Linked DNA regions of Arabidopsis thaliana. The protein of the gene in region 1 interacts with the protein of each later gene in a pairwise test. Each region holds a gene or a part of one and is shown in the gene's direction. Other genes may lie near its edges.

Region 1 (5,519 bases):
AAGAACGGTTCCTTACGGAATATCTGCAGCATCAATATTTGACAAGTGAATAAGCAACAGCAAAGTATTAACGACTACCATTCGGAAATTCAAATGCTTGCAATAGCTTCAGCATTGAAGCTAGAGAGAAGAGTGAGGGGATTATTAGTTCTCACCATGCCAGCAAACATGCAACCAAGACTCCACATGTCTAAAGAATAGTCATAATCCTGTAGATCAACTAAAAGCTCGGGACCCTTGAAGTATCTGGCAATTAATTCACAGGTTTTTAGTCTAATGCATTTAACAACTACAAGAAGCTTTGATTGCACAGCTAAAAGTTTCAATCATTGGCATCTACGAATGACCCTCTTAGGCTTGCCAAGACAGGTGGAATTAAGCTGTGGTATCGGATATTACCTCGAGGCCACGCGAACATTATACTCTTTTCCGGGATGGTAAAACTCAGCAAGGCCCCAATCTATCAGACGAAGTTTACGCAGCTGATGATCTATCATGACATTATGAGGCTTAACATCCCTATGCATTATTCCTTGAGAGTGACAGAAATCCAATGCCTGAAATGCAATAACATCAGCTCTGGATTCCACGATAAACATTTGTATGTACGGTAAAAGTCATTTATGGTAAATACCGATACATTACCTTCAGAAGCTCATAAATATAGTACCGGATATCGTAATCAGTCAATGTTGGATACAATACTTTAAAGTCCACACTGTTGACAAACTCAAATACCAAGCTAGGTGTTTTGGAGTGCTCATCTCTAACAATATCATACAGCTTAACAATATTTGGTCCACCACATAGGTTCTGAAGTATTTTGATCTCTCTCTTTATCTGCATAACATCAAGTTTCAGCAAAATTAGCCATCTTTATGTATGCAAATTCATCAGAAATGAGTTCTACTAACTGATCACCTTCTTCTTTTTTACGGGTTTGAGGATCTTGATAACGCAACGCTCATTCGTATTGACGTTTTTGCCTTCGAAAACTTCACTGTATTTTCCTCTACCAACTTTTCTCACAACCTCATAATCATCTTGATGACTGAAGAATCACACAAAAGTATTTAAGAATCTCACACTGTTGAATTTCAAAATCCAATATTTGCTAATAGATACTTAAAACAAAGTGTCTTCAAGAGACCTAAGTCCAAACCCTAAAAAATTCCAATTTCTCTGATTTCGAATTCGATTTGGCAACAAATCAATCAAATTCCACCGAAAATTTATCAAAAAGAAGTCAAAAATCGTAAATTCATCAAAGAAAAATTCTAAAGCTAGAAGTTTTACCCCCATTGAACAACGAGAGACTCGTAGTCCCAATACTCTTTAGGACGAACAACGTTAACATCTGTATAAACCCTAGCTTTCGACATCAATTTCGATCTGAAAAAATGGAGAAATTTGCGATCGCAATCTTCTCTTTGATCGTCAGGTTTGTTTCAAGTGGACGATGATGATGACAACAGAAGAAGTGCGTTGTGCAGGATTAGAAAAAGGTTGAAGAAGAATCTCTGATACCCAAAAACCACCTAAACCAAATCGAACCGATTCAACCACACTCGAACCGAAACAAACCCAATCGGATCGATTTCAATCACACTATAACCGGACCGAATTGTTTAAACGACATCGTTTCGAAGAGAAGCCAAAGAAAAAGAAAGGAGAGAAATAAAGCAAATTCGTTACCTTCACTTTTCATTTTCTGAATAAGAGTTAAAAAAAGACATTAATGGCCTTAAGGCCTTGTACTGGATTCACAATCTCCTCTCTTCGCAACGCTTCCGCCGCCAACAACAATCTCTTCTCTCTCCTCTCCTTCTCTTCGTCGTCTCCGGCGAAGAGGAATCTTCTTCTCTCTTCGCTCCAGGACAATCTCCGTCGTTTCGCATCCAGCGCTTCTCTTTACCGTCAACATCTCCGGAATCAACAACAACAACATCAGCAACAACAGCAATCGCGCGTGAAAGAAAAATCAGAAACGCTGGCTCAGAAGATCGGTAAATCTATCCGGCGTGCCGGTGCGCCGTCGAAAGCTAGGGTTTACGCTGATGTCAACGTTGTTAGACCTAAGGACTATTGGGATTACGAGTCCCTTGCTGTTCAATGGGGGTATATCTTCAGATTCTTCTCTAATTAAACCTAATTACGTCGATTTCTAGATGTTTGCCTTTGGTTATAGATTGGTTTGGGATTGGTTGTTCTGGAATCAATGTGGAATGTAGATTTAGGGTTTCGTTTCATATTTTTGATTGATGATATAATCTCGTAAGTAATGCAGAATTGGTATCTGATTTGTTTGTATTGGTATCTGTTTTGTTTGTATATAATCTCTTGAAAATTGCTGGTCTATGTGAACTAGATTGTTGAATTGATATCTTGAGTTTGTATGGTGTTGTTACTGTTTGGTGTATTAGTGTTTGAGTTAGCTTCATTGATGCCGCAGTGTACAGGATGATTATGAGGTGGTGAGGAAGGTAGGAAGGGGAAAATACAGTGAGGTCTTTGAAGGCATTCATGCTACTGATAACGAGAAATGTGTTATCAAGATTTTGAAGCCTGTGAAGAAGAAGAAGGTGAGTAGATACAGCCGCTTGCTTGTTTTTATCTCAATTGTGCTCAGAATGAAGTGTGTTTCTGGCCCTTCACTTGGTTTGAATTATTCTCTAACATATTTTGCTTCTCCTTGACGCAGATTAAGAGAGAGATTAAGATTCTGCAGAACCTCTGCGGTGGGCCTAATATTGTAAAATTGCTCGACATTGTTAGAGATCAGCAGTCTAAGACGCCCAGCTTGATATTTGAACATGTGAACAATAAAGATTTCAAAGTTCTCTATCCAACTCTCTCAGACTATGATGTTCGATATTACATTTTTGAACTTCTAAAGGTAATTATTCAGTTTCCTGAATTGTAGACCATGATTTTCTTTGCGGCTTTGGCAATTGGCAAAAGTAATCGGTAGATATATCATAGATGTATAGCGTCATACACTGTTGTTTACCTTACTTGACTTTTGAATCCACTAGCCTTCAGTTATAAAGGGTACGAATTTGTTTCTGATGCTGTTTGTTGTTTCTTTTTAACATTTATGCAGGCGTTGGATTTCTGCCATTCACGTGGAATCATGCACAGAGATGTGAAACCACATAATGTCATGATTGATCACGAGCAGCGAAAACTTCGTTTAATTGACTGGGGTTTGGCAGAATTCTATCATCCTGGGAAAGAATACAATGTCCGTGTTGCTTCAAGGTAGTTCCTTTTGGCTATCTGCTAATCTCTCCTCTGCAAGATTCTATTTGTTGCAGTTGCTAAATTTCTGCTCATAGAGAGTCTAGATAAGAAATGTTGAAGATTGCATGCATTGAGCTCTTGAGATTAGTTGAAACATATTATCTAACTTCGTCTAGCTGATGTATACTATTATCATTTCTCACTTCATATTTGATGAGCAGGTACTTTAAGGGTCCAGAGCTGCTGGTGGATTTACAGGACTATGATTATTCCTTAGACCTATGGAGTCTTGGGTGTATGTTTGCTGGAATGGTAAGCGTTTTAAGCTAGAATTTAGTTAACTTGGTTTAAGCTGTAATGGAATGACAAGAATTCGACAGTACATTTTGGTTATTTTACCATTCCTTAAGTTAGTTAAGTGGTGAATATTGTATACTCTACTGTTTGCAGATATTCCGCAAGGAGCCGTTCTTTTATGGCCATGACAACTATGATCAATTGGTCAAAATTGCGAAGGTAACATTACAAAAGCTTTCATCATGTCTCGTCTCCTCTGAACAGATTTTACATTCCTCCAAGTTATAGCTAAAAATACGATTCTATGTATTTATAACTATGGCAGGTGCTTGGCACAGATGAACTCAACGCCTACCTAAACAAATACCGTATAGAGTTGGACCCTAATCTAACATCCCTCGTGGGCAGGTAATCCGGTTTAAAAAGTTATGAAAAACTCTAAAAACTCCAGTTTTGCGCCTTATCATTTCAGAACATTAAATTATGCACTCTTGATTTTATATAGACATAGCCGGAAGCCATGGACAAAGTTCATCAATTCTGAAAACCAGCACTTAGCAGTTCCTGAGGTACAACACTTAACTTTTCTCTATACAATTATGAAGCCTTCATGTTAAGACCAAAACACCGGATTTTTTGGACGAACATGACTCATTTGTTTTCATATACTTTTTGGTTAATGAAGGCTGTTGATTTTGTGGACAAGTTGCTGAGATATGATCACCAAGAAAGGCCAACAGCTAAAGAAGCAATGGTAAGCAACAATTTTTCTTTAATATCTTTCTAAAGATTTTCTCTTATAATTACAGATAAGTGATAGTAGAGAATATGATGGATTTTTACAGGCGCATCCATATTTCTATCCGATTAGAAATGCAGAGAGCAGCCGTACGCCGCGCAGCCAGTGATCTCGAAAACATTTGCTTGTTCAATCTTCTGATTTTTCATTTCTTTACGGATTCAAATTTGTTATAAATCGATCTGTCATTGTTTCATTCTCTCAAGTGTGCGTGTGTTACTGTTTTGCTCTTTCTCAGTGTTTCATTCAACTCATTTGAATTTTATTATATAAAAAAAAATATCCACAAGACGGGTTTCAAAAGGTTTTTCTTTCTTTTCTTCTCATTTTTAATTTTCTGGAAAATTTCATATTCTTGAGCGGGACAGGTTGGTTTGGCTTGCCGGTTTTAGTTAGCCCGTTTTGACAGCTCCGTGGAAGGTAGAAGAAGCTCGCATCGGGAGTAGAGAGTGATGGTCGGTCAGTTAGATATATAACTGTAGACATAAGAAAGCACAAGAATCTCTAATCTAATCCAAATAGTGATTAGGGGACATTAAGCACGTAATCCGATCTTGAGTACTGTGTCTGTGGAACAACCTCGACCTATCTGTCTTATATCTTTTAAGTTTAGTTTAATCTCTCTGGTTCCCTTTGTCCAAATGATTATGCAATCATCCTATATTAGTTTACAATATAGCTGTCTGTCTCTTTCTTTCTTGTTGAAAATGATGCCTTAAAAAAATTACTCATCTCTTAAAATTTTGTGAATTACGCACACGCAAAGATATTGCTGTGTCTAAAACATATGAAACCAAATATGGAAATATATAACTAATAATTGTGCAAGATTTTCAGTATATATATGCATCCATGATCCATCAATCAGTTATTTTTTTCAAATTATTGGAGAAAATCATCCACCAAAAGAGAAATAAATATTTACTTTGGAAACGATTAAAAACGTTTGATAACCGGTGTGCAGTCTTGTGAATTAAGATTATCTTTTGAGTTTTGACACCTTAATCCAAAGTGAGATTTCACGCGTATGAGTAAATGAGATTATTGAATGATGTATTCTGTTGGAATGCTTTAGATAATCAGTTTCGTGTGATAAAGATTTTCTCATTCTGGCCAAAAAAAAATAAAAAAGATTTTTCTGTTTTTCATTCCTGTTTTTATATTGAAACGTTACATTTTT
Region 2 (5,938 bases), on another chromosome or scaffold:
CAGATACGAGGTCACCCACTCTCCGATCGTGGCTCCGGAGAAGGAAACAACAGTTTTCGAGGCGTATTTCGATCTGGGAATCGATGGGATCGGTCATGCTGATCGGGTGTTGAAAAGAGTCTCTGCATGTGATCCGATTCTTCCTTCGGATATACCCGATTCGAGATTTGATTTCGGAATGGCCGTTGGAGTCGGCGGCGAGATTTTACCGGAGACGCTTGAGAAAATGGTGGAGATCTGTGACGTTGTTGCTGTGGATATTCAAGCTTTGATTAGGGTTTTTGATCCTGTTGACGGAGCTGTGAAGCTTGTTGATTTGAAAGAAAGTGGATTTTATCACATCTTGCATCGAATTGGATTCTTGAAAGCTTCGTCAGACGAAGCTCTTTTCATGGATGTTGAACAAATGAAGCACTTGTGTTGTGTGGTGGTGACTAATGGTGAAAAAGGGTGTAGGATTTATCATAAGGATGATGAAATGACGGTTCCTCCGTTCTTGGCGAAGCAGGTGGATCCTACCGGTGCCGGAGACAGCTTTCTCGGAGGTTTGATTGTTGGGCTTGTTGAAGGTTTGACTGTTCCTGATGCTGCATTGTTAGGGAACCTCTTTGGTTCCATCACTGTAGAGCATATTGGTCAGCCAAAGTTCGATTTGATGATGCTTCAGGTTTGTTTTTTGGTCTCGTATTAGCTTACTGAATTGCATGCTGTGAGAGATTTGCAAATCTAATAGACAGTAGTAAGAACTTTTAGAGCCGATGATAGTGATATGCAAATGTCTTTAACATAATCCTAGCAAAAGAACTCTGTTACATCTTGCAGCTTACTTTCAATACAGCCAAACCTATATCTTGCGGGTGAACTAGAATCTGTATTTGATGTTGATAGGTTTCCAATCTGAAAATGTGTCAAATCTTCACAGTTGTTGTTTGAGATTCTGTCGAGTCACAGCTGCTGAGAGAGTCTTTTCTTGTTTTACTTCATTGTTAATCTAGGAGCAGTTTCATTCAACATAGGGTAGATGCAGGAAAAAGTGTTGTTTAAGCATTCACCGAACAATGTGGTTAAGCAATTAGAGAATTCAAAAGTATGGATCTCTTGATGTATTTGCGAGTGTTTCTGTGTATCTCTTGTAGTTGTATCTGTTGAAATGAGGGCGTTATTGGATAATAATTGAACCATTGGCTAGTGCAAGTGAACATTAAGCAAATTAGAAGATTTATAGCGTTTGTGTTTGCACTGCACAAGGATTCATCCCTTTCATCGGTTATTTCTATGTGACATATGTCTTTGTGATTTGCAGAAAGTCAAGGATGAGGTACAGAGAAGGAAGAAGCAGTGTAACATATCTAGCAGCCATAACAACGATCACAACGAGTTCCATGAGCGTCTAAGTCCAGCTCGGTTTTCATGCGTAGACTCTCAACTTCAACCAAAGTTATTGGTCAATGGTCACTCTTGTGATGATCGGTCCCTGTGAATACGAATCTTGAATCACCTTTTTTTTACTAACAAAGCTCTTCTGAGTTGTGTAAGCTTGCTTCAACACGTTGATGAATTTTGGAAATTTTAATGTATAAAACGCGTTGACCAGCGTCTTCAAACGCTCTTTCTGGTCGTTCCCGCAAAGTTTGTTTATCAACTCCGCGTTTCAAAATTCGAAATGAAGATGTCAAATTTTGTTTTAAAAGTTTTGGATAAGATGATTTGCTATTCGCATGTTGCCACATTATCTAGTTAATATAAAAACCAAAAACAAATCTGAGATAAAATTACGAAAGTCAACGTGGGAGATCTAATTTTGACTGGTGCATAGTTGAACCGGTTCAATATATGTACAATCAGGAGGAAACCGTGTTCGGTGTTTGATTCGTGCGCGTGGATTTAAAACGTGGTCACGATCAGGCGCGTGGATTGACGTGGCGATTCCGATTCCCAATCAAAAGTCTGGACGAGCAAAAAATTTCCTCTGATATTGGCATCTCCATTACTAACTCCTGATTTACGGTTAAAACGCCTCTTCCCTCTCTCCGACGCTTCTCGTCGGAAATCTGGGTTTAAGTTTCTTCTGCAGATCGGAAGAGATTCTATTGAAGCGGCGTTGACACGATTTCATCTATAATTGTACGATAATGAAGCAGAAGAACCAGCATAAGAAGAAGAAGAAGCGATCCTGCGCCGCGAAACCTTCCGGTGATGGAACGACGTCGGACGGGAACAAAAAAGATGTGGAGGAAGAGAGGAAGGACGGTGAAGGAAAGAGGGAGATAGAAAACGTTGGAAAAAATTTTATCGAATCGTTAATGGAAGCCTTTTGCTCGGTTTCAATGGAGGAAGCGATGGCTGCTTATAAGGAAGCAGGCGGAGATCTGAACAAAGCCGCTGAGATTTTATCGGATCTGGTGGAAAGCGGTGATGATCCGTCGACGAGTTCGGTGGCGAGTGGTTCTTCGGGTCAGGAAACAGCGTCTACCTCTGAGTATGGGGCAGGGTCAAGTTCTAGCTGTAGCGAAGATTTGACTAGAGATAGATGGTTTAAGGGAAGCAAGCAGAGTAGAGTTATTGCTGCTACAGGGATGGTTTCTTCTGTGATTGCGAAGGATTACTTGAAGCCAAACCCTGTGCGAAAAGAGTTTCCTATGATGGAACGGTCTAAAGAGCTCTGTGGGAACGGGAAAAAAGCTGCGGATAGAGAGAAAGCTGAACAGTTCTTAAGTTCAATGCTTGGAGATGATTGCGAGCTTAGCATGGCTGTTGTTAGAGATGTTTTGTGTGAGTATTTCTTCTTCTTAGTCAGTTAATTTTTCCATGGGAGAAGATGTTAGTAGAAAAGTATGATCCTTAATAGTTATAGGATTACGTTTTAATGTGTCCGCGATATTCGAAATATAGCCGTAATAATGTTATGAGGAGAGACTAGATTGTTCGATGAATTGACATGGAAGTATCTATTTTTTGTAGGTCAATGTGGCTATGATGTCGACATGGTAAGCAGAGATTGTCTTCAAACTTACATGGGGAAGTATTTAGTATATTGACAGGGAAGCTCCTGAAATATGCTGATACTTGCCCGACTATTTATTTTAAAGCTTAATAGCGTTTTCTTCTTAGGCTTTGAATGTCTTGCTTGACATGTCTTCTTCATCAACTGATGATTCATTGAGTGGTAAATGTTTCGGCATAGGAGTCAGCGATAGTGTAAGTGATTGTTTTTTTTGTTAATCTTCATAGATCTGTTTATTTTGTTTTCTTACACGATAAAATAAAGTGCAATCTCCTGACATTATTTAACAGCTGGCAGAGTCATCTTTTGATACTGATACTTCTGATTGTGAACTTTTCTGGGGTGGAGACTATAGTCAAAGGTACTTCTATTTGCTTCTTAGGCTTTCATCTTGTTATTGCAATTCACTGATTTTGGAATTATCAGAGTTGATTTACACGTTAGTTACAAGATAACGAGCTCTCTGCAACCTCTCCTTATCTTTTAATTAGTCCTTATCCTCTTCTATGAAAGAACAACAAACGAACTATTTCATGGTGGAGGATTCAGTTCATGAACACATGATATCTAAATTACTCATGAGACCGCCAAAACTTACATTATGATTTCTTAATTTCAACATTGTGGACGAGGTCAAAACTAAATATCTGGCCTTTTTTTCTTTTCTTTGTCTGAATGGTAGGGACTACGCAAAAGCTCTCATGAGTTCTCAAGATCCTTTTGCAACTACCCAAGGAATTGATGAGCTTGGTCTTCCACAAAAAGTGTTGGAGTCTCTGTTCAACATTCGCCAGAATCCTAAACATGAATCAAAGACAACGAGTTGGAGGAATGTGGCAAAGAAAATGCAGTCACTTGGCATTGATGCTTCTTCATCTAGTGGGGAAGAGCCTCACCCTAATACGTTTGGTACTTTACTATGGTTTCTTGATTTTAGTATTTGCGTATATAGCTGCAAATAGCATGCTCAATTTGCCATGAGTTTGCCGGCTTCGAGCTTCTGATGTATGTTGTTTTACCTGATGAAACACTTGGCAATTTTTGCTTTGGTGTCATTGGCATAAACATCTGAAGTTTTGACTGCTTGTTTGTGTTGCAACTCTTGAATCAATCTTTCTTACTCATGAATTGCATTACCAATCAATCAGTACGTGTGTTGCAGTGAAGGATGACAGTTATCATGAACTTAGAAAAGGTGCAAATGACCAGTGGAATGTTACGAAGTCCTACTATCAAAAAGTTAGTTTTACTTGCTTCCATATATCTGGCTCTGGTAGACTCCTCAACTAATGCATTTATTAATTGGTTTAAGGCTGCCGAAGCATATTCGAAAGGAGGGAGGGCTCATGCGGCTTACCTTTCTGACAAGGTGCATATCACGGTTTACATATATCATGGTATCATGGCATTTTGTTTGACAGTATGACAGAAACTTGTGTTGTTTTTCTTTTAGGGAAGAGTGGCATCTAAACAAGCTCAACGGGCTGATGAGAGGGCAAGCCAAGATATATTCGTTGCAAGGTTAGCTGTTTTGATGCATTATCAAAGTATGCTGATGCGCTTAAACATTTTGTGGTGGACTAAGCCATTGTTTATGACTATGCAGAAACAAAGGTATAGAGAATGTGGTAACCATTGATCTGCATGGTCAGCATGTTAAACCAGCAATGAAGCTACTGAAGCTACATCTCTTATTTGGATCATATGTTCCTTGTGAGTACTTAGCAAACTCAATTATAAGTCTTTTCTTCTTTAGTAGATCATCATAGTCAGATCTTGTCATCATAAAACCCGAGATAATACCTTCCTCCTAACAATTGTGAAATCATCCAGCCATTCAGACTCTACGAGTGATCACAGGATGTGGAGCTTCTGGGTTTGGGAAGTCTAAGGTGAAACAATCAGTAAGTTTCTTCAACGCCCTTTCACAGCAAAACCGGAGACAAGAATTTAGTATTGCAGTCATGGTATATGATTGTTATTTATGGATATGATCAGGTGGTAAAGCTGCTAGAAAGAGAAGGAGTTAGGTATTGTGAAGAGAACAGAGGGACACTGCTGATCAAGCTTGACGGAGGTAGTAGAGAGTTCAGTTTCTTAGACACAGAGAGTGACTCTGATGAATAAGTGATAACTAAAACTAAAGTCAGGTTTTAGCTTTAGATCTTAAAATTTATGTCGATTTTGTCTATATCTGATGCTAGCTCTCTGTTGTTAAGTAAATGTTGGGCAAAACTTAGCTTCCTTCTTTTTCCTTTCCGTATTTCACGTTATTTAAGTTCTGAAAACACTTTGTCTGACACAGACAGAATGTATATTTTTCGCTAACTCTTCTTTAGGAGTTTACTGATATATATATTATCGTGTAACTTCTATAAATTCTACAAATGTTGACAATGCAAAACGGCATAAGTGCAGAATTTTTGCTACTGAAAGACATTTGTGTATAAAGTCAGACATAGCTCGAGCTAGAAAGCAGACGAAAGAAATAAAGCCGGTAGAATCTTTCATAAAGTAACCAAGACACTCGTTTTAACACAAAAGTCATCAAGCACACTAGAGCTCACATCAATGGATGATCAGATGGAGAAAACTAGAGTTGTTGAGTTACAGGGGAAGCTCACCACTGTCTACAATCACCACTTTACTCTTAGGAGTTCCACTCTGATTTCCTTCAGCTTCGACTTTGTACACCACATCCATTCCTGTCACTACCTTCCCGAATACCACATGTCGCCCATCCAACCTGCAAACTTTCTAATCAGCAGACGGAAACAACATATCGACAATTCTATCCATAATTGAAACTCTTAAGCTTAGAAAGTAGTAACCTGCCCACACAATTGTCAAACAACTTGAAAGTAAAAGATAAGAAACTGGCTTTATGTGTTTGAAATTCAGATGATTCTGTACTCACCAGCTGGTTGTTACAGT
Region 3 (3,518 bases), on another chromosome or scaffold:
CAATAAAGGTCTCATCCTCAACAGTACATCCATGTAAAACAGCACTATGACCTGTTACACATTTAATTTAAGACTATATCCCAAATGCTTCTTGGAGATGTATGCATATTAAACATTTTCAAAATAAACAGTGAGTAAGAGATTCCCACTAACCAATGGTTACATTGTCTCCAATTATGGTTGGGTGCACCTTCCCGCTTAAGTTTGATTTTGCCACATGCACAAGTGAGTTGTCCTGAATATTAGTTCCTGACCCAACACTTACGGTGTTCACATCGCCTGCGCAGAAAAAAAGAGAGAAAGCAAGTTTAGATTGTATGTTATCCCAGTTTCCTGGTAAAGTACTAACAGGCTTAGCCATACAGTACCAATGTGTTATGACATGAAAGCATTCTGTAAAAAGGACAACCCTATTTCATCACCATTAAATAAAAATCCAGACTAGCCAACTCATACTCGCAATAAGGATTCAACTCAAACTCAATAATCTGTATATGATATCGTTCAACTAATTCTGGTGTTATGACATGAAAGCATTCTGTATATGATTGGGGATATCATATACCCAATCACCCATTAGAGCAACTGCCAGTATCATCAAGATACGATATGTAGTAATGATCTGTTTAAGATCCTTCAATAAAGCTAGAAAGCTCCATTTTGAGTAGTAGTCTTGTTCATCGCTTAACCAGAAGAGTAAAAAACAGATATTCGTTCACTATTTTCTATCGTAAGAGTTGACACAGCTAAGGATACAGAAGTAGATACTATTTCAAACAAAACTTCAGTCACTAAAATAGTCAACCACCAAACACCAAACATTGAGGCTTAGTAGCTAGCTCACCTCGTAATACGCATCCATACCAAATGGACGATCCTCTTCCAATGTGAACGTCCCCAATAACTGAGGCGCTTGGTGCCACAAAAGCTTCCTTGTCCACAATCGGAGCCTTATCAAATACATTCATCAGTGTCCGATGCCTTGACACTACACAGAGAAAACCACAATTACATATAAGCAAATTTCGTGACCAGGAAACAAAAAAAAAACTAAGCAGCAAAACACATTCCACATCAATTAATCCCTTGTGCCATTCGAATCCAGAATCGCTATACCTACAAAGACATCAATTCCAGATCTCTAACCTAACCAGAATAGGTGAGCTGAATTACCCAATCGAAACTCCTCACTCTTTACGAATTCGAAATCGGAGTGAAAAATAGAGTTACGCAGAATCTTACGTTGTTCTCGGAAGTAATTTTTGCCTTGAAGGCGACAACCGAGGCGATCAAGAGCTTGACCAGTCTCACGGATCCAAAAACCGACCGAGTAAAATGCTCTGCCTAGGGTTCCCATTGATCGTCACTTTCTTCGAGCTCACAGGTAAACGAGGACTCAACACTGAATGAAGAAGACGAAAATGGTCGAAGCTGAAGAAGAGACGGAAGAAAAAAAATCAGCGAAAATGGATTTCAACAGGAACATTCCGGGACGGCGAAACAATAAATTACAGTTACAGTGGTTTAATATGGTTTAATCGAACCAAAACAATACGAAATATGAACCAAATCTAATTCGATATTTCAGGTAGTAGTTTCATTAAACCGATTATATTATTCGGTACGAATTTATTACTATATTTTCACTAAATTGAACGGTCCAAAACCTGCCGACCAAAAATCAAATGGCCCTATCAGTAACAATGTCGTTTCGTATCGTCGTCACTTGCAACGCATAACACGTGAGAAAAGATAAACATCGGGTAAAAATGGCCCACTGGTGGGTGGAGAATGGTAATAATTCAGTTTAAAAGCTAAGCCTTCTCACTGATTAACTCAATCATTCATCCGTCTCTGCAAACAAAGGAAGAAGAATCAAGATGGCTCTGGAAATCTGTGTGAAAGCTGCTGTTGGTGCTCCTGATCATCTCGGCGACTGTAACCATCTTCTCTTTCTCTCTCTGTTTTTGTTTTGCATTAAGCTTTTGATTTTGCAATTCTTAATTTCTGAGCTTTGATCGTTGGTAAATTTACTAATTTAAGTGTTTGTTTGTCGTTTTAGGTCCGTTCAGCCAACGGGCTCTTCTCACACTCGAGGAGAAGAGTCTTACCTACAAAATCCATCTGATTAACCTCTCTGACAAACCCCAGTGGTCAGTTTCTCTCACGCCTAAACCCTTAAGATCGGTCTAGTTTGAACTTGTTTAGCCATAATCTCTGAAATTTTACTTGTAACTGGTACGAGCTTTGTGTTAACCGGAAATTGGATTGGCTTCATGTGCGAGCATTGTGTTAACCGGAACTTGAAATTGGTGGCTTTGGTTTTATATATGATGCAGGTTCTTGGACATTAGTCCTCAAGGGAAAGTACCAGTGCTTAAGATCGACGACAAGTGGGTGACTGATTCCGACGTCATCGTTGGTATACTCGAGGAGAAGTATCCTGATCCACCACTCAAGACTCCTGCTGAATTTGCCTCTGTTGGATCCAACATTTTTGGTACTTTTGGGACATTCTTGAAGAGCAAAGACTCCAATGACGGATCTGAACATGCCTTGCTTGTTGAGCTAGAAGCTTTGGAAAACCATCTTAAGAGTCACGATGGCCCTTTTATCGCCGGAGAAAGAGTTTCCGCAGTGGATCTAAGCTTAGCACCAAAGCTTTACCACCTTCAAGTTGCTCTTGGCCATTTCAAAAGCTGGTCTGTCCCTGAGAGCTTTCCCCATGTCCATAACTACATGAAGACTCTGTTCTCGCTCGACTCTTTTGAGAAAACTAAGACCGAGGAAAAGTATGTGATCTCTGGATGGGCTCCCAAGGTTAACCCTTGAAACTATGCACCGTTATGAGATCGTTGGTGTGGTAATGTTGTTCAAGGTCTCTCTCTTATATCAGTCAAATAATGTACTTGGACCTTTTTATGTAATGTACTGTATCAATCAAATAAGAAGCCTATTTTGAAATAAGATTTGCCTCCATATCGAAACTCGGATAAACACTGGCTACACGTAACATAAGGGACAAGGGTTTTTTCAGACAAATTATTTAAGAAACTCATCGACAGTACTTGTGTACTTGACCTCAGGATAAAGCTCAGAAGTCTTAACTCCAAAAGAAGGATCTATAGTCAAGGAGGTAAAGTCGCTCTTCGCAAGGACCGTATGGATCAAACCCACAAAAAAATCCATTGGAGGCTGGGTCTCTGCAAATGCAAGTGACTCGTTTAATACTTTGGAGTTTGGACTGATGAATATTGGATATCAGAAACTGTTTTTATGGTTTAACTGATCACCTTTGATGGTTTTGAGGAGTTCTTCCTCAGAAACATAAGTCTTGTCGAGACTCGAGAGTCTTACCGATCTTTACATCCCACAAATCAACCATATCGTTCTGCGATACAATGTTCTTGGGCGGGTGAATGTAGGGTTGGGTGAGATTTTCCAAGAATGTTCCTGGGAGAAGGCAGTTATAGTCGCACCGTCAGCAGTCGTAAGGTAATCGGATTTTATTGTGGATG

Evidence for each region. Proteins that work in one complex are often made in the same cells at the same time.
Region 2: the proteins of AT2G23070 (region 1) and AT5G58720 interact in a two-hybrid assay, tested with the Arabidopsis thaliana proteins (one large-scale study listed by BioGRID).
Region 3: the proteins of AT2G23070 (region 1) and DHAR1 interact in a protein complementation assay, tested with the Arabidopsis thaliana proteins (one large-scale study listed by BioGRID).

Annotation. Positions count from the first base shown.
Region 1 is NC_003071.7:9,823,091-9,828,609, reverse strand, and holds AT2G23070 (Protein kinase superfamily protein), read left to right. Parts: upstream 1-1,711; 5' UTR 1,712-1,738; coding exon 1,739-2,118; intron 2,119-2,452; coding exon 2,453-2,582; intron 2,583-2,701; coding exon 2,702-2,896; intron 2,897-3,103; coding exon 3,104-3,261; intron 3,262-3,464; coding exon 3,465-3,555; intron 3,556-3,693; coding exon 3,694-3,759; intron 3,760-3,865; coding exon 3,866-3,948; intron 3,949-4,045; coding exon 4,046-4,109; intron 4,110-4,225; coding exon 4,226-4,294; intron 4,295-4,385; coding exon 4,386-4,448; 3' UTR 4,449-4,968; downstream 4,969-5,519. Other genes in the region: CKA3 (Protein kinase superfamily protein), read right to left, coding at 1-23, 156-246, 400-557, 646-840, 922-1,051, 1,297-1,382. UniProt on the Arabidopsis thaliana protein: Casein kinases are operationally defined by their preferential utilization of acidic proteins such as caseins as substrates. The alpha chain contains the catalytic site. Involved in the regulation of various developmental processes.
Region 2 is NC_003076.8:23,719,169-23,725,106, reverse strand, and holds AT5G58720 (smr (Small MutS Related) domain-containing protein), read left to right. Parts: upstream 1-1,931; 5' UTR 1,932-2,132; coding exon 2,133-2,772; intron 2,773-2,961; coding exon 2,962-2,987; intron 2,988-3,111; coding exon 3,112-3,198; intron 3,199-3,294; coding exon 3,295-3,365; intron 3,366-3,686; coding exon 3,687-3,913; intron 3,914-4,166; coding exon 4,167-4,243; intron 4,244-4,316; coding exon 4,317-4,373; intron 4,374-4,457; coding exon 4,458-4,525; intron 4,526-4,610; coding exon 4,611-4,717; coding exon of another isoform or gene 4,718-4,773; exon of another isoform or gene 4,774-4,837; coding exon 4,838-4,908; coding exon of another isoform or gene 4,909-4,998; exon of another isoform or gene 4,999-5,002; coding exon 5,003-5,131; 3' UTR 5,132-5,412; downstream 5,413-5,938. Other genes in the region: Mik (pfkB-like carbohydrate kinase family protein), read left to right, coding at 1-667, 1,304-1,480; ROC7 (rotamase CYP 7), read right to left, coding at 5,612-5,750, 5,922-5,938.
Region 3 is NC_003070.9:6,772,776-6,776,293, reverse strand, and holds DHAR1 (dehydroascorbate reductase), read left to right. Parts: upstream 1-1,770; 5' UTR 1,771-1,880; coding exon 1,881-1,938; intron 1,939-2,062; coding exon 2,063-2,153; intron 2,154-2,339; coding exon 2,340-2,832; 3' UTR 2,833-2,992; downstream 2,993-3,518. Other genes in the region: GAMMA CA1 (gamma carbonic anhydrase 1), read right to left, coding at 1-51, 154-279, 845-988, 1,243-1,357; AT1G19565 (uncharacterized protein), read left to right, coding at 3,163-3,215, 3,324-3,415. UniProt on the Arabidopsis thaliana protein: Displays a dual function. As a soluble protein, exhibits glutathione-dependent thiol transferase and dehydroascorbate (DHA) reductase activities. Key component of the ascorbate recycling system.